Sus scrofa: one gene and its partner. The protein of the gene in region 1 binds, or shares a complex with, the protein of each later gene. Links are inferred from orthologs where the notes say so. Each region holds a gene or a part of one and is shown on either strand. Other genes may lie near its edges.

The links. Proteins that work in one complex are often made in the same cells at the same time.
Region 2: EFTUD2 (region 1) and SNIP1 share a complex: the UniProt entries of both Homo sapiens proteins name them as parts of the minor spliceosome. The link is inferred for Sus scrofa from reciprocal best matches to the Homo sapiens genes EFTUD2 and SNIP1.

The regions. Positions count from the first base shown.
Region 1 is NC_010454.4:18,484,974-18,495,703, reverse strand, and holds part of EFTUD2 (116 kDa U5 small nuclear ribonucleoprotein component), read right to left. Parts: intron 9,951-10,730; coding exon 9,785-9,950; intron 9,144-9,784; coding exon 9,065-9,143; intron 8,395-9,064; coding exon 8,319-8,394; intron 7,850-8,318; coding exon 7,784-7,849; intron 7,023-7,783; coding exon 6,987-7,022; intron 4,992-6,986; coding exon 4,901-4,991; intron 3,658-4,900; coding exon 3,575-3,657; intron 1-3,574. UniProt on the Homo sapiens protein: Required for pre-mRNA splicing as component of the spliceosome, including pre-catalytic, catalytic and post-catalytic spliceosomal complexes. Component of the U5 snRNP and the U4/U6-U5 tri-snRNP complex, a building block of the spliceosome.
Region 2 is NC_010448.4:93,606,393-93,617,150, reverse strand, and holds the start of SNIP1 (smad nuclear-interacting protein 1), read left to right. Parts: upstream 1-4,981; 5' UTR 4,982-5,074; coding exon 5,075-5,298; intron 5,299-6,994; coding exon 6,995-7,097; intron 7,098-10,758. UniProt on the Homo sapiens protein: Required for pre-mRNA splicing as component of the spliceosome. As a component of the minor spliceosome, involved in the splicing of U12-type introns in pre-mRNAs. Down-regulates NF-kappa-B signaling by competing with RELA for CREBBP/EP300 binding.

The DNA.
Region 1 (10,730 bases):
TGATGATCGGAGCAAAGAGGGCAGAAAAGTCCAAAGCAGAGCCAAAGAAGGCACTGCTTTAAAATATGAAGGACGTGGAAAAGAAGATCTGGGGAAACAGATTGTTGGGGGGAGGAAGAGGGTATCCTGTCCAACAGCAGATGCAGGAATTTTTTGTCTTTTGTCTTTTTAGGGCCGCACCTGCAGCATATGGAGATTCCCAGGATAGGGGTTGAATTGGAGCTGCAGCTGCCGGCCTACACCACAGTCACAGCAACGATGGATCCGAGCTATGTCATGCACTGCAGCTCACGGCAACACTAGATCCTTAACCCAACACGTGAGGCCAAGGACAGAACTCATATCCTCATGGATGCCAGTCGGGTTCTTAACCCACTGAGCCACAATGGGAATTTCAGACTCAGGAATTTTAAGAGGGCACCTTGCAGGATTGAGAAATGAAGAAATGTTGGGAGTCAGGTCTCTGTGTGCTAGAGAAGGCTTAGGAAGCCGCAGTGGTGCTGAAATGGAATGCTGGGCGTTAGGATGAACTCGTGGTTTTTTTTTTTTTTTTGCTATTTCTTGGGCCGCTCCCACAGCATATGGAGGTTCCCAGGCTAGGGGTCTAAGCGGAGCTGTAGCCACTGGCCTACGCCAGAGCCACAGCAACGCAGGATCCGAGCCGCGTCTGCAACCTACACCACAGCTCATGGCAACGCTGGATCCTTAACCCACTGAGCAAGGCCCGGTATCAAACCCGCAACCTCATGGTTCCTAGTTGAATTCGTTAACCACTGTGCCACGACGGGAACTCCAACTCGTGTTTTTTTCTTCTTTTTCGGTGAACTAATGGTTTTTAATATATGTGCCTAGAAACAGTTACAGATACATAGGGGTGAATGTTACCTGTGTTCAGTGAAAAGTCCTCGAAGCAATATGCCCCAGTAGCAATAAATATGCCCTAATCTTTGTTTCCAAATACCAGTCCTCAGTAGAAGGAGCCAGAGCTCCTTGGAGAAGCAGCTGACTCCTAGACTGGGGCGGGGAAAGTACAAGATGAGTTTAGGGCATCTTTTTGTGCCTACAAGAAGATGGGGCACGTCAAAAGGATAAAGAAGTCAGCCTGAAGGAGTTCTCACTAGCCAGCGGGATTGGTGGTGTCCCTATAGCGCAAGGACACAGGTTCAATTCCCGGCCTGGCACAGTGAGTTAAAGGATCAGGTGTTGCCACAGCTGCAGTGGGGGTCACAACTATGGCTCAGATCTAATCTCTGGCCCAAGAGCTCCCTATGCTGTGGGGCGGCCAAAAAAGAAAAACAAAACAAAAGAAAAAATATAAAAGATATAAGGATCTTAAAGGATTAAAACTCACTGTGTACAATAAAAATACATGAATCTATATTACTAATAAATAATCAAGTGGAGAAGAATGGAAAGCTCTTCCTTACAACAAAATTCTGACCAATAAATACAGAAGAAATAATAAGAGAAAAACCACCATTTGTAACTATTATATAAACAAGCTAGGAATGACCAATGGATGACAAAAGAAGTAAACTTTGATAAGGAATAGCATGTTTATACTGACTCAAGGTACCTGCCCACAAATTATTAGAAAGGGTAAAATAAAATAGTAACTTCGCACTGGAGAAACCTGACAGGCCCACCCTAGCCAAGTCATCAAAGTTGACATCACCAGTAATGGGATATGGGGACATCACGGACCTTCTGACGTGACGGACTAGTAAAAACACAACGTAGGAGTTCCATCATGGCTCAGTGGTAATGAACCCGACTAGGATCCATGAGGTTTCGGGTTCAATCCCTGGCCTCGCTCAGTGGGTTAAGGATCCAGCGTTACCATGAGCAGACGTGCAGGTTGCAGACGCGGCTCAGATCCCACATTGCTGTGGCTGTGGTGTAGGACGGTGGCTACAGCTCCGATTCAACCCCTAGCCTGGGAACCTCCATATGCCATGGGTGCAGCCCTGAAAAGACAAAAAAAAAAAAAAAAAGAGAGAGAGAGAGAGACTATGGAGACATGAAAATTGAATGTTGGGTTGGGTTAGGGGAAAAAAAACCTCTATAAAGGACATTACTGGAACAATCAGAGAGACTGATTACGGTCTCCAGAAAAGGCCTATACGACAATATTGACCAATACTAAGTTTCCAAATCTTGGTAAGTGTATGTCCCTGTTAGGAAATACATCCTGAAATACATTACTTTCAATTGGTCCAATGGAAAACACACAAACGTGTGAGGGCACACAAGCATGTACAGAGAGATGATTACAAAGCAAATGAAGGTGCGTTCTCAGTATTACTACAACTTTTCAATAAGTTCGAAATTACCCCAAAATGAAGTTAATTTTTTAAAAGGGCAACGCTGGCTCCCTCTGCTGGCTATCTCACCAATGACAACATGAATGAGGTTAGCCAAATTAGCTATTCTTTTTTTTTTTTTTTTTTTTTTTTTTTAAGGGCCACAGGAGAGGCAAGGCATATGGAAGTTCCCAGGCTAGGGGTTGACTTGGAGCTGCAACCACCAGACATGGGGTCCGATCCTCATCTTCTACCTGCACCACACACAGCTCAGGGCAACAGTGGACCCTTAACCCACTGAGCAGGGCCACAGTGGGAACTCCACATACCTAATCTTTCTATTTAGAAATATAAAAAACACTCTGGCCCTTTTAACTCCAATCTCTTCTTAGTTTAGACAACTTCACTGACATTTAAAATCCGGAGCTCCTGTTGTGGCTCAGTGGAAACAAGCCTGACTAGTATCTATGAGGACACTGGTTTGATCCCTGGCCTCGCTCAGTGGGTTCAGGATCTGGTGTTGCTGTGAGCTGTGGTGTAGGTTGCAAATACAGCTTGAATCCCTAATTGCTGTGGCTGTGGCATAGGCTGGCAGCTGCAGCTCTCATTTGACCCCTAGCCTGGTTACTTCCATATGCTGCAGTTGTGCCCCTAAAAAGCAAAAAAGTAAAATAAAACAAAATAGAATAAAATCCACTTACAGGAATAAACTCTCCTCCCTCCCTATTATTTACATTTGTCATTCCTGTGTTTCTTTTTTTTTTTTTTTTTTTTTTTTGGTCTTTTCGCCATTTCTTGGGCTGATCCCTCGGCATATGGAGGTTCCCAGGCTAGGGGTCTAATTGGAGCTGTAGCCACCAGCCTACACCACAACCACAGCAACGCCAGATCTGAGCCACGTCTGTGACTTATACCACAGCTCACGGCAACGCTGGATCCTTAACCCACTGAGCAGGCCAGGGATCAAACCTGCAACCTCATGGCTTCTAGTCGGATTTGTTAACCATTGCACCACGACAGGAACTCCTCCTGTGTTTCTTAAATGACAACGAGTCCTATCATCTTGAGCTTCTCTGGGCAGGGGGTGAGGGACTCACTGAGAACTGATTTACACCTTTATTTGCTGCCCTAATTTTAAAGCAAGTATGAGCCTCAATCTCAGAGACGCTCACGTTCTCTGGCTCCTGGCTCAGCTCACTCAGAGCTCTGGGCAGTGTGTAGGGCAAATATAACAGGGAGAGAGGGGTCCCAAAGGACAGAAGCAGACTCACGCCCTCGGCAGCATCAATGAACAGGACCACTCCATCTGAGATGCGCAAGCCAGCTGTGACTTCATCAGAAAAATTCACATGCCCTGAAAAGCAAATACCAGGTAAGTTGCCACTTGTGTGGATACAGGCTGAGGCACAATCAACTTGTATGTGGTCTGCAGGGCACTGCAAAGCATGTGAACCCACAAAGAGCCCCGTTCCCTTCTCCCCACAGCTCCCTGCAGTGTATAAAATTCCACATTAGGAGTTCCCTGGTGGCCTAGTGGGTTAAGGATCTGGCATTGTCACTGCTGTGGCTTGTGTTCAATCCTTGGCCCAGGAATTTCTGGATGCCATGGGCATAGCCAAAAAAAATTTCCACGTTAGTGTCCCATCCTTGGATTGTGCTTTTATACAGGAGGCCCCCAAACATAAAAAGGAGGAAATGTTTTACCAAGCAGGGCATAATGCATTCCACTCACACCCTAGCTTAGTCTAACCATCAGTGAGTCGAATTCTGTGGGACAGAAGACAATCTGGAGGCAGAAAAAAAGGCAAAGGAAGGGCTTTAGCATGGAGCTGGTTCCTGGCAAAGTGCTGCTGCTGGGTATGGGTGGGGGTCAGGGGCTAAGAAGTAGGAGGGCATAGGGCACCTGATGGGGCAAAAGGCCAATCTGCCAAAACCCAGATTTTCCAGAATTCCCATTGTGGCGCAGCAGAAAGAACCTGCTTGTACCCATGAGGATGCGGGTTTGACCCCTGGCCTCACTCAGTGGGTTGGGGATCTGGCATTGCGGTGAGTTGTGGTGTAGGTCACAGATGAGGCTCAGATCCTGCACTGCTGTGGCCCCCTAGCCTGGGAACCTCCATATGCCATGGGTGTGGCCCTAAAAAGCAAAAAATAAAAATGAATCAAGAGAAAAAGGCAACCAAGGGACAAGATATGCTGCTCCATGGCAACCTGTACATCCCCAGCCACTGGTAAGTACCCGTGGTCTCCATCAAAAGACTGAGATGGCCTGAGGCTGGGACCATGTCTGACTCATCTTTGTCACCCCAATGTCTAGCACAGTGACTGACAGGCTGAAACTAATATATGAATAAGATTCCCCCAAATTTAAATAGTCTAGAGCAGAGTCAAGAGAGGAATAAGACAGAAGACCTGGAGCACAGTGCTTGCTAATTAACTGGTTAGAAGCAAAGGAAACCGTTAAAAATGAAAATTATCATCTTAATGAACAGAATGTAAAAAGAAAGACATAATGCTCTTTTCTGTTCTAGAAATAGTAGGAGCACAAGAAAAAAATAAGTCAAGGTTTTGACAGTAAAAGGTCAGGAACATCCTACCTGGAGTGTCCATGATATTGAAGAGATAGGATTTTCCTTTGGTATCTGGCAAGACCACTGTCACAGGAGTACTTTTGATGCCAACACCCCTCTGAAAGTCACAGAGAGAGAGACAGGATGATCAAGAGCTCATCCTATGCAGGAGGGGTTTACTCTGCTTTGGGGGCTTCCCAGTTGCTAGTAAGTTACACCACTGTCTCTCCTTGTAGTGTGTGTGATTTTGTAACCTAGTCCTCTAATCAGAATGACCTTGAAGACAAACTATCTTGGTCTTAACAGCATTTCCCAGGATGGGGGAGAGTTGGTTCAAATACAAAAAAGTAAAAATAAAAGAACAAGCAAGCAAAGCAGTGGTAAACCATAATAGGAGAATCCACAGTCCTAAAATCTTATCTTCCTCGTACACTATAAATAAAAATAATTAAACATCATATAAATCAAAAGAAACTATCTGGGTTATTTTAGGTTCCTTTTTTTTTGGCTGTGCCTGTGGCATGTGGAAGTTCCCAGACCACACAAGAGATCAAACCCAAGCCAGAGCTGTAATAGCACTGATCCTTAACCTGCTAGGCCATGAGGGAATTCCTAGGTTTTTTTTTGTTTTTTGGGTTTTTTTTTTTGGTCTTTTTGCCATTTCTTGGGCTGCTCCCTCGGCATATGGAGGTTCCCAGGCTAGGTAGGGGTTGAATCGGAGCTGTAGCCGCCAGCCTATGCCAGAGCCACAGCAATGCAGGATCCGAGCCACGTCTGCGACCTACACCACAACTCACGGCAATGCCGGATCATTACCCCACTGCACAAGGGCAGGGATCGAACCTGCAATCTCATGGTTCCTAGTCGGATTTGTTAACCACTGCGCCGCAACAGGAACTCCTTTTTTTTTTTTAAATATAGCGAAAGTTATAGTAGGAGTTGCTGCTGTGGTACAGTGGCTTAAGAATCTGATTGCAGCAGTGGAGGGGCAAGTTCAATTCCCCAGCCCGTCACAGTGGGTTAAAGGATCTGGCATTGTCACTGCTATGGCTTATGTCACTGCTGTGGTGTGGGTTCAATCCCTGGCCTGGGAACTTCTACATGCCACAGGCACAGCTAAAACCCAACAAAAAAAAGCCCAACTCCAGTCAAATATATACACACATATATTTTTTAAATAGCTAATATTTGTTGATTGCTTATCATATGCCAGCACCGTTTAGAGTTCCTTTGGTTAGTCAAACTTATACATTTGTGCTTTCCATGTGGTCATTTAAGAGAGACAGAAATAAAGGAGGGGAGTTCCCATTGTGGCTCAGCAGAAACAAATCTGACTAGCATCTGTGAGGACACAGGTTTGATCCCTGGTCTTACTCAGGGGGTTAAGGCTCTAGGGCTGCCGTGAGCTCTGGTGTAGGTCGCAGACGCAGCTCGGATCCTGTGTTGCTGTGGCTGTGGTGTAGGCCAGTGGCTACAGTTCCAATTCAACCCCTAGCCTGGGACCCTCTATATGCCATGGAAGCAGCCCTAAAAAGACACACACACACACACACACACACAAAAAAAAAAAAAAAAAAAAAAGGAGAAGAGGAAACAGAAGGTGTTAGAGGGGAGGGATAAAGATCCCCTCTAGATGGAAAGACTAACCAGATGGAATGGAAAAGACAGAGATATACGTGCACTCCTTTACAGAGAAAGAGAAGAACAAAGAGAGATGAACCTCTTCTCTAAGGGAAGCTGCCCCTAGGAAGAGCGACATATGGATGGAGTCATCCTATAGATTTTAAGGATGATGTCATTTTAAAAATCATGTTTGGCTTCTGTATAACTTACAGATAAATGTACACACCACCTCTTGGCATCTGCCCCATTAGGCTAAATTAAATCCAGGTAAGGACAGGAGGGTCTCTCCTTTTATCCTACAGTTTGCCTACCCAGCTCTCTTTCAAGTTAGAGATCATGGGACGAAGCAGGGAGATAAAGAGGTTGAGGGATGGGAGTTATGGGGGACGGGTGCTGTATGGGCCAAAACGTTATCATAAAAACTTTCCCTACAAAACCACCACTGCTGGGTCTGGTGTGGCAACAATCAGATTCCCAAAGGCACACTTACCTCTTGCTCTGTGAAGAGGATGTCTGTGTAACACAGCTGAAAAAAGAAAAAAAAAAAAAAATGTAGTTACCACCTGAATTCAGATTCTTGCCACCCACAAACCATCAATCATTCCCCTCACCCACTCCTAACCTGGGGGCCTCTGGCTCAGGAGGAGAACAGATGGAAGGCAAGAGGGTGCGCTACAGAGAGTTCAATGAGACTAGGGCCCTCCCAGGTGGAAAATGCTCCTGGATGGTTTTATGGGGGGAGTCAGGGAAGTCACTAAGGACCGAGGTGGCTGGAGAGCTAAATCACATCAAATGCATTGAATTCTGCACAGTGGTAAAGGAAGACACCTCTAGCCTTCACGGAACACCCGCACATCAAAACAGTCAATCTGGCGGAGACTGAACAGTTATTGCACTGAGACTTGCAGCCACACTGGGCCTCATTCACAGGCATTTAAATTTATCATGGAAACAACAAGGTCCAACTGTATTATATTTATAGAGTAGGCTATTAATACTATGACAGGAAAGAATAGGCTATAAAAGTCAGGATATATCAGAACACAGGAGGGATCTCAAGTGCAGAACAGATCATCCAAAAATACTGCAGGTTAATATTCTCTATGTTCCTGAGAAAATGGAAATTATTTTCTTAAGGGCTATTAATAGAAATTACAATTATGAAGCAGCATATTATAGGCATCATTACTTATAATGAGAGTGGGAGGTTAGAAGGAAGGAGAAGGAGAGACACCCCCCTGTGTTCTGAATGGTTCATCCCAAACCCTCCACAGAATTTCTACTTACATCTTGGTCATAGCGCTTTCTGATTTCCGGGTGAGTCTGCTCTATTAAACAATCTACAAAACACGTCTGCAAGGGAAAAGAAAGTTATGTTCTGCTGGCCACAGAGGAAAATCGACTCCACCCTCCCCCAGTTACCAATACACCACACAATTCAGGGATAAGGAGAGGAGGAGGAGAGCAGGGGAGATTATGGGACAACAAAGAAATAAAGAAGCCACGGGATTATTTTCAAATGAAAGATGAAATCTTTCTTGGGCAAGCGTCCTCCAGGAAATGAAAACTTATAAAATAAAGTAAGGCCCAATTTCCCCTCTGCTGTCCAGATGTAGACACAAGGCTCAGGCATGCAAGTGGCTTAGCTTTCCATCTGCTGCTCAGGAAAAGCTGGGATTTCACGGCTCGGTTTCACAATAGGCTCCAGGGAGGCCCTGCAGAGTCAGGAGGTCCAGCCTTATGGCCTCAGACCCCAATTAGTGACTCTTAGGCTGAAACACTCAGCAGAAACAAAGAGCAACCCTGTTCCAAGTTCCCTCACCTTGCCATGGTGGAGATGGCCACAGAGCGTCACGTTTCTGATGAGCTCCGAGTTATCCATCAGATCTGCCAAGAAACTGAAAGGAGAAAGGAAGAGAGAAAAGGGACTCTGGCAACGGTTTTCAAACAAAGGAGCGGTGCAGAGATGTTCTAGGTATTTTTGGCCAGGAACAATTTTCAGCCCAACTGGAGAATGTTCCAAGGCAGACATGAATTTCTACCCCTACACAGTTCAGGCTTTGGGAATGGAACAGACTCATTTGTGAGGTGACATAATCTTGAAATGTCATGGAGCTTTCAATAGGAAAATAATGACATTTAAAAAGCAAGTAAGGGTGAGTTCCTGTTGTGGCGCAGTGGAAACAAATCCGACTAGGAACCATGAGACTGCAGGTTCAATCCCTGGCCTCGCTCAGTGGGCTAAGGATCTGGTGTTACCATGAGCTATGGTGTAGGTCGCAGACGAGGCTCGAATCTGGCGTGGTTGTGGCTGTGGTGTAGGCCGGCAGCTGTAGCTCCGATTAGACCCCTAGCCTGGGAACCTCCATATGCTGAGGGTGCAGCCCTAGTAAAAGACAAAAAAAAAAGGAAGAAAGAAAGAAAGAAAATGCTGGCAAATTGTAGGGAGAGAGTTCTGCTTTCACAATAATTCACTGGCTACTTCAACCACAAACCACCTCCTACCTCCACAAAAAAAATGAACCCATACTGTTTGTGCAGAGATGCTGCAAGACCTTAATAACTTACTCCATTTCATACACTGTGACAGGTAGTGTCTGCTCCATCAGAGTGAATTTCTTGGTTTTCACTGGCTTAATAATGGGTTCTAGGAGAAAAAAAAAGTAGTGATGTGCAGGTAGGCATAAAACATAAAAACACAGAGCCCTATTCCAACAGACTGAGCTTTCAGAATATACGATATGCGACATCAATTTATGCTATTCTCATGGGTCACTGAGATTGAGAAAGTCCTGGGAATGCTATTTGGCACGAGACAGTGAAGGGTCTTGAACTGTGGAGTGAGGTGTTTGGACTTTATTTTGTGAGAGGAAGAGAGAGGGACTAGATAGAGGATGAGCTCGATATCAGTTCAAAAGCACTCCTTGCATTTAAAAATGCAACCACTTTCCAGAAGCTCAGTGAAAATTAGTAAAGTGGAAAATAAGCATTGTGAAGACTAGTTAAAGGAGTTGGTATTGTTTGGATATCAGACCAGAAGAGAACTTAAAGACTGTCTTCAAGCACCTAAACGGATATTAGATTAAAAGAAAGAACGCTCTCTCTCTTTGTAACTCTTATTTGCTAAGTAATAAGCTATGAGTTTTACTGAATATCAAAATGGGGTTAATTGAATCTCAATCTAGACATAGTACCTGAAAGAGAAACTAATCAGTTCATTCACTGAGCTTTCAAGACAGTTTTCTGGTTTCGGATTCAGCGCTCCCCAGCCAGCGCCTCCAGACTCACCGGTGAGAGGCTGCGTGTCCTCCTCCTGAACTATGGTCTCCACTTCGGGGCCGTACACCTCCTCGGCTGTGGGGTAGTACTTCTTGTCCTCATGCAGCACCACCTCCATCCCAGGGTGCTCTTCATCATGATCTCCTACATCGTCATCGTCGTCCTCGTCGTCCATCTAAAAGCAAGAGAGCGAAGACGGTTGGAAGGGGTGCGCACTTTTCCTGTTCAATGACCGGCCAACATTACACGAGTTAAAAGCAATGGCTCCACACACTTGACAGCTTCTTATTTTGAGTTCTGTGCTAGAGAGTCAGCGGGGCAGGTTCTACTGTGTGATGCTCCACAAAGAGAAGACTAGGCTAGGACTGTGGATGGCTCGCCTGATTCAAACTAACCCTTCCAAAAATGTGGGCCACTGGTTACAAGTGGATGGAGATTGGAGAAAACAAATGGCTTATTGCAACACACTCTTTTAAGGGAAAAAATAACTTCCTCCATGGGCAGAAATAAGAGGCAGAAACTGGGAACACGTCCATACCTTTAAAATTTTCTCTTAGACTCACAGAATTGTTTTTGAAAAATACCTTTGTGACAGATAAATAACAGGTGTTGGCAAGGATGTGGAGAACCTGGAGCCCTTATACCCTGCTGATGGGAATGGAAAATAGTGCAGCTGCTTTGGGAACAGTTTGTTCATTCTTCAAGATGTTAAATACAAAGTTACCACATGACCCAGCAATCCTGCTCCCAGATATCTAGGCCAGACAAACAAAAACTTAGGTTCACACAAAAACATAAATAAATATTCATAGTAGCATTATTCTTAATAGTTAAAAGGCAGAAACAACCGAAATGTTGATGGAATGATGCATGGATAAATAAAATGTGGTACATCCATACAATGGAATATTATTTGGTAATAAAAAGAAATTTAATACTTATTCTTGGTACAACA
Region 2 (10,758 bases), on another chromosome or scaffold:
AAAAAAAAGCAAGCCAGGCTGAGGTATTGTGGGATTCAGAGTTGAGAATGGAGCCCCCTCTGGAGGCAGATGGACAGAGAATCTGGCTGATGATCCCTCACCCCCAAGTCCACTTCCTTTACTCCTTGACAGGGCACTGGACAAGAACTGAAAGTCATCACAGGACAGGGAACGGAAGGCTTGGCCTGCTTGGCTGGCAGGGTTGGCGGGAGTGAGGGGCGGGCCCACTGGGCCTGCTGGTCGGTTACCTTCAGCTGCTGATTGGTCCTCTTGAGGAATTGAATCTCCTCGTTGTGCTTCTTCTCCTCCACCTGTCTCCTCTCACTTTCCCGCTTCTCTGTGGCCTCGCATTTTGCCTTCTGCTCATTCACTTGCCTCTCCAAATCTCGCTTTTCTGTCTCTAATTCTGCAATCTGAGGACAGAACCCACAGTCATCCTGGGAAGTCGCCAAGTGTACGGGGCAGTGTGAGTGCATGGATGGAGGGGACCAGGGACACAGCTGTCCAACCCAAGGCATTGCCAGGGTCTGTACTGCCACCCAGTGGGAGGTCAGGGACTGGCAGACCATGTCCAAGGGGAGACCACTCTGCCAGGACTGGGGCTGGCACTCTGGACCAAAGGGCTTACTGAGGTGATGAGAGAGCACCCCAGGGGGGGCAGAATTAGGTGCTGGCATGACAACCTGTGGCCCTGAGATCCACGGGAGAGTCAAGAGGCCCAAAAGCTCCTGGTAGACCCACTCACTTTCCTCTCCATGTCTGACTTCCCCTGTTCTGCCTGCAGCGCCTTCCTCATGCCAAACGCCACACTGCTCTCATACAGGGTCTGGTAGGCAGCGATGGTCATGCGGATCTCGTCCCGGACCCGCAGCAGCAGCAGCCCCCGCTCTGCACAGTTGATGGTGACCTCACGGATCAGCTCATCTTCCAAGGCGCGCACACACACACACACACACACACACACACACACACACATGGTGAAGTCAGAGAAAGCAGGCAGGAGGGGAAATGCAAACCACCTACTGTCAGGGGCACCAGGGTGAGTCCTTCCCACTTGGAGACAGGCTTTAGGCTTTGCCATGCAGCCACTGCCCTGAACCTGACACTTGGGAGTACAGGCCATCTGAAAGCATGGCTTGGCCAGCACAGAGGGAGACAAGAGCCCAGGTTTGTCTGCAGCTGTGGGGCCCTTCTCTTCCACCCACCATCAGGCAGAAACTGCTATTCAAAGAAACCTGACTTTTTGGAGTTCCTGTCGTGGCTCAGCAGTAATGAACCTGACTAGTACTCATGAGGGTTAAGGATCCGGTGTTGCCGTGAACTGTGGTGTAGGTCATAGACGTGGCTTGGATCTGGTGTTGCTGTGGCTGTGGCGTAGGCCAGTAGCTATAGCTCTGATTTGACCCCTAGGCTGGGAACTTTCGTATGCCACGGGTGCGGCCCTAAAAAAAAATTAAGTAAAAAAAATAAAGATGGTGGCTGTTTTAAAGCAGCTGAGCAATCCCCTGTACCCCTGGATGGACCAGACTGGGGCTGGAAACAGCAGGGTCTCCAGCCTACCCATCCATCCCCTCATAAAGGCTGACTTGGAGGGCAAACCAGAATCATACTCAGACTGAAGGCAGCCTGCTAGGCCCCCTAAGCAGCCTCAGGGTTTGGCCGCAGTTTGCACATCCAAGTGACATGGGCCAGTGAGACCAGACTGAGGGCCAGCCATCTGACACCAGCACCCCAGGAGGGTGCTCTCAAACCCCTTGTCTGTCGGCTTATTGTTGTTAAACCGCCATACAGTTGTTATCACCCTGAAAGATTCCTCTGGACCAAAGGCTGAATGTCGATAGATGGATATAAATATGGAACATTAAGTTTTTCTCTTTTTTTTTGCTTTTTAAGGCCGCAGCTGTGGCATATGGATGTTCCCAGGCTAGGGGTCAAATCGGGGCTGCAGCTGCCAGCCTACGCCACAGCAAGACCAAATCCAAGCCGCATCTGAGATCTACACCACAGCTTTACTGCAACGCTGGATCCTTAACCCAGTGAGCAAGGCCAGGAATGGAAATCCCATTCTCACGGACACTATGGTGGGTTCTTAACCCACTAAGTCACAAAGGAACTCCAAAACATTAAGTTTTTCTGATGAAAAAAAAAAAAAAAACCTGACGTAGGCTTATTTTAGAAACCTTTAAAAAAAAAAAAAAAAAGATTTGAAATTGATGTTCTTGTCTGACTCCAAACAGCTAAGGGGTGAAGAACCAGGTTTGCTAGGAATGTGGTGACTGGCAGGGGATGGGGGTCCTGAGAAGGGGAAGAGGGTGCATTTAGCAGTTCCTGGGTGGGGCAGGTCGGGATCTGTGCTGACGGGGAAGGAGGCACTAGGGGGTTGAGGACCCTCCCTCTCGGACTGCTCACCGAAACACTGGGAGTACAGCTCCCTGCGCACAGGGCAGATGCCGGTCTCCCGGGCCTGGCGCTGCTGCAGCTTCAGGTCCAACTGCTCCTGCAGGTGCACCACGTCCATCCTGGTGCTGGGGGTGCTGGACACCTGCTGGATCCATAGCTGTGTGTCCTCCACCCATTCCCTGTGGCACAGACAGAGCCGGGCTGAGTGAACCCCATCCACCAGAGAGGGTCACTGGGAGGGGAGCAGAGGTGGGCCTTTGTGTTCTCTGCTTGAGAGGAGCGAGGGGCAGCTCTGTCCCTGACCCACCAGAATCCTCCATCTCCTCCTTTTCCTTAAGGAGTGTGTGGCTCCAAAGCCACACCCACTGTGCAACCTCCAAGGGGCCCCTCCCCTGGGGCTGGGCAGTCTTCATTCTTCCAGGACCCTCTGTGAAGTCATCACCCATGTTCCAGATCTTAACCACTGACCATGGTGAGGACAGATCTATGGCGGTTGTTACTGAATGGAAGGCCCAGAGGAAATTCCCACTGACTTGACGGGGTAGGAGACACAGGGGACCATAGACCTGCGCCAGCCGGAAAGAGGTGAATGTATGTATTGCAGGCCATACCTCTATGGCCCCCCCATACTGACCAAGGATGAGCAGGTTGGGAGAAGGAAGACATTGTGATTTAGTTTGAGACATGTTAAGTTTGAGAAGTGTATTAGACATTTTCATGAAGGTAATGAGAACAGAGCAGAATATATGCGCATGGAGTTTAGGGGAGAGGACAGGGCTAGATCCAGCATATGGGCGCCATCAGCATTTAGAGCACTCTGAAAATGAGGAGATGTCTCCCCCCAACCCTCAGCATCTAGCCATCTGCAAGTTCTAGGAACTCTGGGATGCTAGGAAGAAATCCCAGCCAGAAACAGAGACAGGGTGCCTCCTCACACATTCCTAAGTTCTAGGATGCAAAAGTCTGGGCTTCCGCCCAGCCACTGCTTTTTTTTTAACCTTGGCGGCAGAATGGCATTCAAGATTTCTTCTGCCTGCTTTGTAGGATCTGGGACACAGGAAGTTGAGGGGAGCTTGGTCTTCGGTGGCTGTGGGACAGGACCTGAGGGTCCAGGCTGCTGGGGGCTGACTTTCAGTAGCCGAGCCTGAGAAGGAAGGACAAGGTGGGACAGGAGGTGATTTAGACACTCAGCTCCACACACTTTGGCAGGCTTTCACCGGGTCACTCGCATACCTCTCCCCCATTCTCAGATCACTCTTCCTCATTAGAAGTTATGTTTCAGAGCTGAAGGAGGCCATGAAGAATCTCTGGTCCCACCCCAACTCAATGCTTCTATCTCCTTGTGCAGATGTTGCTCAGGCCTTTACTTTCTTACCTTTAGAGATGGGGCCAGTCACTATCAGATCTATCCTTGTACACTACCTGGATAGGGCAGGGAGCCCCATCCATCTCTCTGTGACTTTTTTTCCCATCCTAAATCTGCCCTTAGGATCACCCAACATCTGGGCTTCTTGTACCGCTCTCCCACCCTCCTTGCCTGGTCCTAATTCCCTTTATTCCCAGTCACTGCACCCTCTGTCCCTTGGGACTCCCAATCCTCAAGGCAGGGATCTGTCATTCCCCGTGGGAGTTTCCGAGCTCCCCCATCCTGAGACTCCTCCTTACTTTGGGACTCCGTTTCTCCGTGTTGCGGCTCACCAATACCGGGGTATCATACTTGAGCAGAGAGTCGGCGGGGGGGATCATGGCGGCGGCGAGGGTAGCAGCACAGCAGCGACCCTCCTGTCAGGGCAGTGTTTGCCGTCGCCATGGAAACGTCCTTGACATCCTCATGGCCTGGGCGGGGCTTCGAGGCGGGGCGGGGCCAGCAGCTCGAGAGTTTCTTTCTGCTCAACCTTCGAGGAAAGTTCTCCTGCGTTTAGCTTGTCAAGCCTCCTGCTCACCGGGATCGCCTTAGCACTCTTGGAAGCAGGGGAAACTTGAGTTCTGGATCCCTTCGCTGCGTCCAGCTCACGGTTTGAGTAAGGCGCAGATCACTTTCGCTGATCCTGGATTTTGTCACCCGCAAATGGAATCATTTGACTCCTCAGTGAAGGCTGAGGAAGATTCCCAGAGGAAGGCATTTAAAGTTCCCAGGTTTTAAAAAGAGTTTGCCTTTAATGGAGAAATGGCGACGATTTGCCCGGCCGACGATTTGCCCGGGCTACGATCTGTGATTGCATTTCCTTCTCTTCCCCTTTCCTTCGTATTTCCAAACGTAAATGTCATCACAGTCTGCGCACAATTTTGCATCTTGCTTCTTCCATTTAACAAGTCAGACTTTTTTCCATTTGTCGTATAGTTTGTAAATACCATTGCAAATGGTGACATAATCTCTTTTCTACTGCTGGATGTGTAGTTTGTCCCCATGTTTAGTAACTAGTAATAACGCGTCAACAAACAACCTTGAGAGGAGCTTTTTCCCCCCAATTTGTTTTTGAAACCTAAAACTCCCGCCCCACAGAGTCGGGTCCCTAAGGCCCCGCCCACTCGGGATTCTGATCGCGTTATCCGCCGCGAGGGTTTCTGGGAGAGCGCGCACCCGGAAGCGGAAGTCCAGGACTCAAGTCCGTCATTTCCTTCACGGAGAGGAGCGCGACGGTCCTGTTTTTCCTTGGCTCAGCCGTTTCACAGCATGAAGGAGGTGAAGAGCGAGCGGGAGCGGGGAAGTCGGCGAAGGCACCGGGACGGGGACATGGTGGCGGCGGCGACGGTGGTGGTGAAGCAGGAGCGCCTCAGCCCGGAATCCGCGCCTCCTGTCCATCGCCGTCCGGACTCCTCCGGCGGTAGCCCTTCCCCGCTGGCCGGCGAGTCAGGCCGCCCCGGTCACCGCGGGAACCGAGCTCGAGGAGGTAGCCGGTAAGTGGGAAGCAGCCTGGGGTAGACCTGAGGTCGGGCTTTTTGAGAAAGGGGGACAGGGCTGGCACCAGGAGCACACCTTGAATGCTGAGCGCGGCAGCTTGAATTAATCCTAAGGCGATAGAAGTGACCGGTTGTGAGTGTGTTAACGTTTACTCTGATACCTGTTACTTGCGTTATACCTGGGCGTTAAACGCCTAATGCCTGATGGGCAAGTTCTTGCTCCTTCATCTCTGTGTGCTCAGCATTTCTCCGAGTATGGTCCAGCTGATGACAATGATAGTTTATGTTGAAATGAAAGATTTTTCCCACCTGCCTCCAAATGGGGTTATTTTTTCAGTTATCTGCCCCAAGAAGTTTTCATATCCTGAGCCTAGGTGATCTGTCTGATATTCTGGGGGGAAATTGTCTTTTGCGAACAATTTATTCATTCATTCGACATAGTTTTGTCGAGTACTTATTATGTGCTAAAGACCTCATAGGTTATAAAATAATGTGGAAAATAGCTATGTACAATTTTTTAAAATATAAATGTATATGTGGAATTTGAATCAAACTGTAAAATTATACACAGATAAAACTGAAATAAAGAAAATAATGGGAGTTCCCATTGTACCTCAGCAGTAACGAACTGGACTAGTATTCTTGAGGACTATGAGGATGTAGAATTCATCCCTGGCCTCGATCAGTGGGTTCAGGATCCAGCGTTGCCATAAGCTGCATTGTAGGTCGAAGATGCGGCTCTGATCCTGTGTTGCTATGGCTGTGGCGTAGGCCAGCAGCTGTGGCTCTGATTTGACCCCTAGCCTGGGAACTTCCATATGCTAAGGGTGTGGCCCTAAAAAGACAAAAAAAAAAAAAAAAAAAAAAAGGAAGAAAGAAAGAAAAAGAAAAGAAAATATGAGGCAGGCAGGCAGGCCGTCCTGGGTATTGGGGTGGAAAGAATGAGCATGATAGATGATCTCTACCCTGGTGAAACTGAGATGCTCTAGCCCTGAGACAGAATAACAAGGAAATAAAGAAAATAATTTGTTAGTAACAAGTACTAGGGATAGGTTAAGACAGTAATGTCATAGAGAGTGGAGAGAAGTGGTTCTCTGTGAAAAGTCTGCCACTTGACCTGAAACCTGATTGATAAAAATAATCCAGGCTTGTAAAGATCTAATCAGAGAAAACAAGCAGTGCAAAGATCCTGAAGTGGAATTAATTGTGTTCCTTCTAGAAAAGGAGGAGGGGAGGGGATCCGGTATAGTGAGGTGGGTAGGAATGCGGTGGGAGAGAGAAGAGGTAGAGCCTGGAGCCAGAGGACTTGCTGATTGATTGTGAGCGTGTTGGGGAGGAGCATGGGGCCTCTTGGTGGTAAGGGGGAGAAAAAAAAAGAATCTAGGATGACTTCTAGGTTTTTGGCCTGAGGAACGGATGGATAGTGGTATCAGTTACCCTGATGGCAAAGATAGGAAAGTTGAGAGGTGGGAATTTAGCCTTCTCTTATCGAAGTGAGAAGTTTCAATTGGCAGCTACATATGTGGGAGACATTCAGGGCTGAAAAAGTGAAGCTCCTGACTCCTTTAGTGTGATCAGCAGAAGCCTTCACAAATGTGATGTTTGTGTTAGTAGATAGGCCTGATACTTGAAGCTAATTTGTATGAGCGAATGAAAATTGAGATGAAATTTATGTGTACCATTCTCTGAACAGGTCCCCACCGAGAAAGAAAAATAAGTCCTCGGGGAGAAGAAGCAAGTCTCCCCGGAGTAGGAGAAGCCGAAGTCCTCACCACTCAACAGTCAAAGTGAAGCAGGTAAGCGGATTGAGATGTTTTCATACCGGCTCCATCAGAGCTGGAGTGTTGTGTGTGTGTTCACCTCTGCCTGCGGTGGGCTTTTCTAGAAACTGGCTTTTTGGGGTTTTTTTGTCTGCCTGTTTACTTCGTTAAACTAAACCTTTTATTTTGAGATAACTGTTGATTCACCTGCAGTTGTAAGAAAATAATACAGAAGTGGTTGTTTCTCCCATTGGAAGCATTTTACATAATTATAGAACTCTATTCCAACCAGAAAAAATTTTTAAGGGAAAAGTGGTTTTTGTTTTTAATTAAAGTATAGTTTAATGATAGTTCCCTCTGGTGTACAGTAGGTCCTTGTTGATTATCTATTCACAACCAAAATATTGACATCAATACAGTTAACATGCAAAACCTTTCCATCACCACAAGATCCCTCATATAGTCCTTTTGTAGTCATATTCATTTCCTTCGCACCCTTAGCCCTCAATTCCTGGCAGCTTCTCATCTCGTTTCCATTTTGTAATTTTGTCATTTCACAAATATTATGTAAATGAAATCATACAGTATGCAGTCTTATGGGATTGGCTTTTTTCCATTCTGCAAAATTCTTTGCAGATGCATTTAGATTATTGCATCTCTGTAGTTCATTCTTTTTATTGCCGAATGATATTCACTGGTATGGGTTTAACCATTTTCCCATTAAGGAACATCTGGGTTGTTCACAGTTTTTGGCTCTTAGACATAAGGCTGCTGTGTAAACATTTGTGTACAGGTTTTTGTGTGAACATGAGTTTTTATTTCTCTGGGATGAATGCCTGGGGGTGCAGTTGCTGTATGGTATGATAGTTCCATGTTTAATTTTTTTAAGAAATTGCCACACTGTTTTCCAGAGTGCTGTGTTAATTTTCTAGGTCTTCCATAACAAAATACCACAAACTGGCTGCCTTAAACAACAAAAACTGTATTTTTTCCACAGTTTTAGAGGCTAGAAGTCACAGACCAAAGTTTCAGCTGTTTGGTTTCTCCTGAGGCCTCTCTCCTTGGCTTGCAGCTAGTCACTGTCCCAGCTGTGTTCTCACATAGCCTTTCCTCAGTGGCTCATGTCCCTGGCTCATGTCTCTTCCTATTAACCACAACAGCCATGTTGGATTAGGGTGTCAACTCCTTTCAACTCAACCAGTTTTTTGTTTTTTTTTTTTTTAAATCTCACCTCCACAAAATTTGGTTACATTCTTAGATGGGGGGATTGGGACTTGAACATATAAATTTGGAGCGAGCACAACATAACAGTGGCTACACCATTTTACATTTCCACCTATAATGTGTGAGTGATCCAATTTCTCTGCATCCTCACCTGCATATGGTATTGGCACACGTTTTTGTTTTTTTTTTTTTTTCTTAGCCATTCTGATAGGTATGAAAGTGCTACTGTGATTTTTAGTTTGCATTTCCCTGAGGCTGATGGTGTTGACCAGCTTTTCATGTGCTTATTTGCCGTCTATATTTCCTCTCATGTGAAATGTCTCTTCATGTCTTCTGCCTGTTTTCTAGTTGGATTATTTGTTTTGTTTGTTTTTTTAAACTCTTGAGTTTTAAGAATTCTTTTTCATATTCTTCAATACTAGGTCTTTTGGGGTGAATGGTTTGCCAGTGTTTTCTTCCTGTCTGTGTCTTGTCTTTTCATTCTCTTAATAGGGTTTTTCTCTGAGTGAAAGTTTTCAGCTTAGGTGGAGTCCAGCTTATCCATTTTCCTTTTATAGATTATGCTTTTGGTGTCTAAGAAATTTTTCCCTGGCCCTCAATCCCAAAAGAATGGTTTTTTTCTTAATATTTGTGATTTAGGTCTGTGATCTATTTTGAGTTTGTTTTAATATAAGGTGAGAGCCTTAGATCAGATTTCATATTTTGGCCCATGAATGTCCACTTGCTTCAACACCATTTGTTGGAATTTAATTCCTTTAATTGCTTTTGCTTCTTTTGTCAAAAATCTGTTGGGCATGTGTGTGCCTATATTTCTGGGTTCTCTCTTCCATTGATCTGTCATTCTGCCAATACTGCAGTTTTGATTACTGCAGCTATATAATATGTTCTCAAATTGGATAGACTGATTCTTTCACTTTCTTCTTTTTAAAAATTGTTTTAGTGATTCTAGTTCCTTTGTATTTCCATATGAAATGGAATAGTCTTGTTCGTATCTATAAGATTGTGCTGGGATTTTGATTGGAATTATGTTAAAATTGTATTTGGGGGAGAATTGGCTTTTTATTTTATTTTTTAAATTTCTTTATTTTTTTGCTTTTTAGGGCCACACCCCCAGCATATGGAGGTTCCCAGGCTAGGCGTCTTATTGGAGCTACAGCTGCCGGCCTACACTGCAGTCACAGCAACAGATCTGAGCTGCGTCTGCAACTTACACCACAGCTCGCAGCAGTGCCAGATCCTTAACCCACTGATCGAGACCAGGGATCCAACCCGTAACCCCATGGTTCCTAGTCGGATTTGTTAACCACTGAGCCATGATAGGAACTCCTTTATTTTAGAGTTTACTCAGGATTTGCTACATAATTCAAACCTCCAAATTGGGAGGAGTTTCTTTCTCTATAGTCTATATACATTTAATTCCTTTCTTGTTGATGTAGGACTTCCAGCACTATATGGAATAAGAGTAGTAAGAGCAGACAGTCTTGCCTTACTCTCAGTCCTGAGGGGGAAACATTCAGTCTTCTTTTTAAAGAAACTCTGTGGGAGTTCCTCTGTGGTACAGCGGGTTAAAAGATCCAGTGTTGTCACTGCTGCGACTCAGGTCACTGTGTTGGTGCTGGTTCCTGGCCCTGGAAACTTGTATATCCCTAAGATGCAGCTAAAAAGTAATAGTAACTCTAAATTACAAAGTGCAAATAGAGACATTGGCATTTAGAAAATGGATTTTCCTATGAATTTGAGAGACTGTGGGCCAACTTTCTACTACCTGAAAGATTCAAAGCCAGGGAGTTCCCATCGTGGCTCAGCGGTTAAGGAATCTGACTAGCATCCACGAGGACACAGGTTTGATCCCTGGCCTCGCTCAGTGGGTTAAGGATCCAGCGTTGCTGTGAGCTGTGGTGTATGCGGGTGGCTGGAACTCTGATTAGACCCCTAGCCTGGGAACCTCCATATGCCATGGGTGTGGCCCTAAAAAGACCAAAAAAAAAGATTCAAAGCCAGATGGTCCTAATAGTCAGCTCTGTGAGTTGGTCAGGCATGGCCTTGGCTATTTCAGAATTCAGCCTCTGGAACCAGAGTATCCACATTGAACCTCTCAAACCACTTGTTAGAGGGTGGTGTGTGTGTGTATACAACTTGTCACTTCTTTGATTTAATGGATTTGACATGCTGCATTTTGTGGATCTAAGGTGTACAGTGTGTTACTATGATACATTTATATACTGCCACTGAAGCAATATTTATCATGTGTCATCATTATCATATAGTGTTATTGCATTACACACACTGTGCATTTTATCTCTGTGGTTTGCAAGTTTGTACCTTTTTAATTTTTTTTTTTTTGGCTGCACCCGAGGCTTATGGAAATTCCTGGGCCAGGAATCAAATCCAAGCTGCAGCTGTGGCAGTGCCAGATCCTTAACCCACTGCACTGGGTCAGGAATCAAAACTGCACCAACACAGAGACAACGCT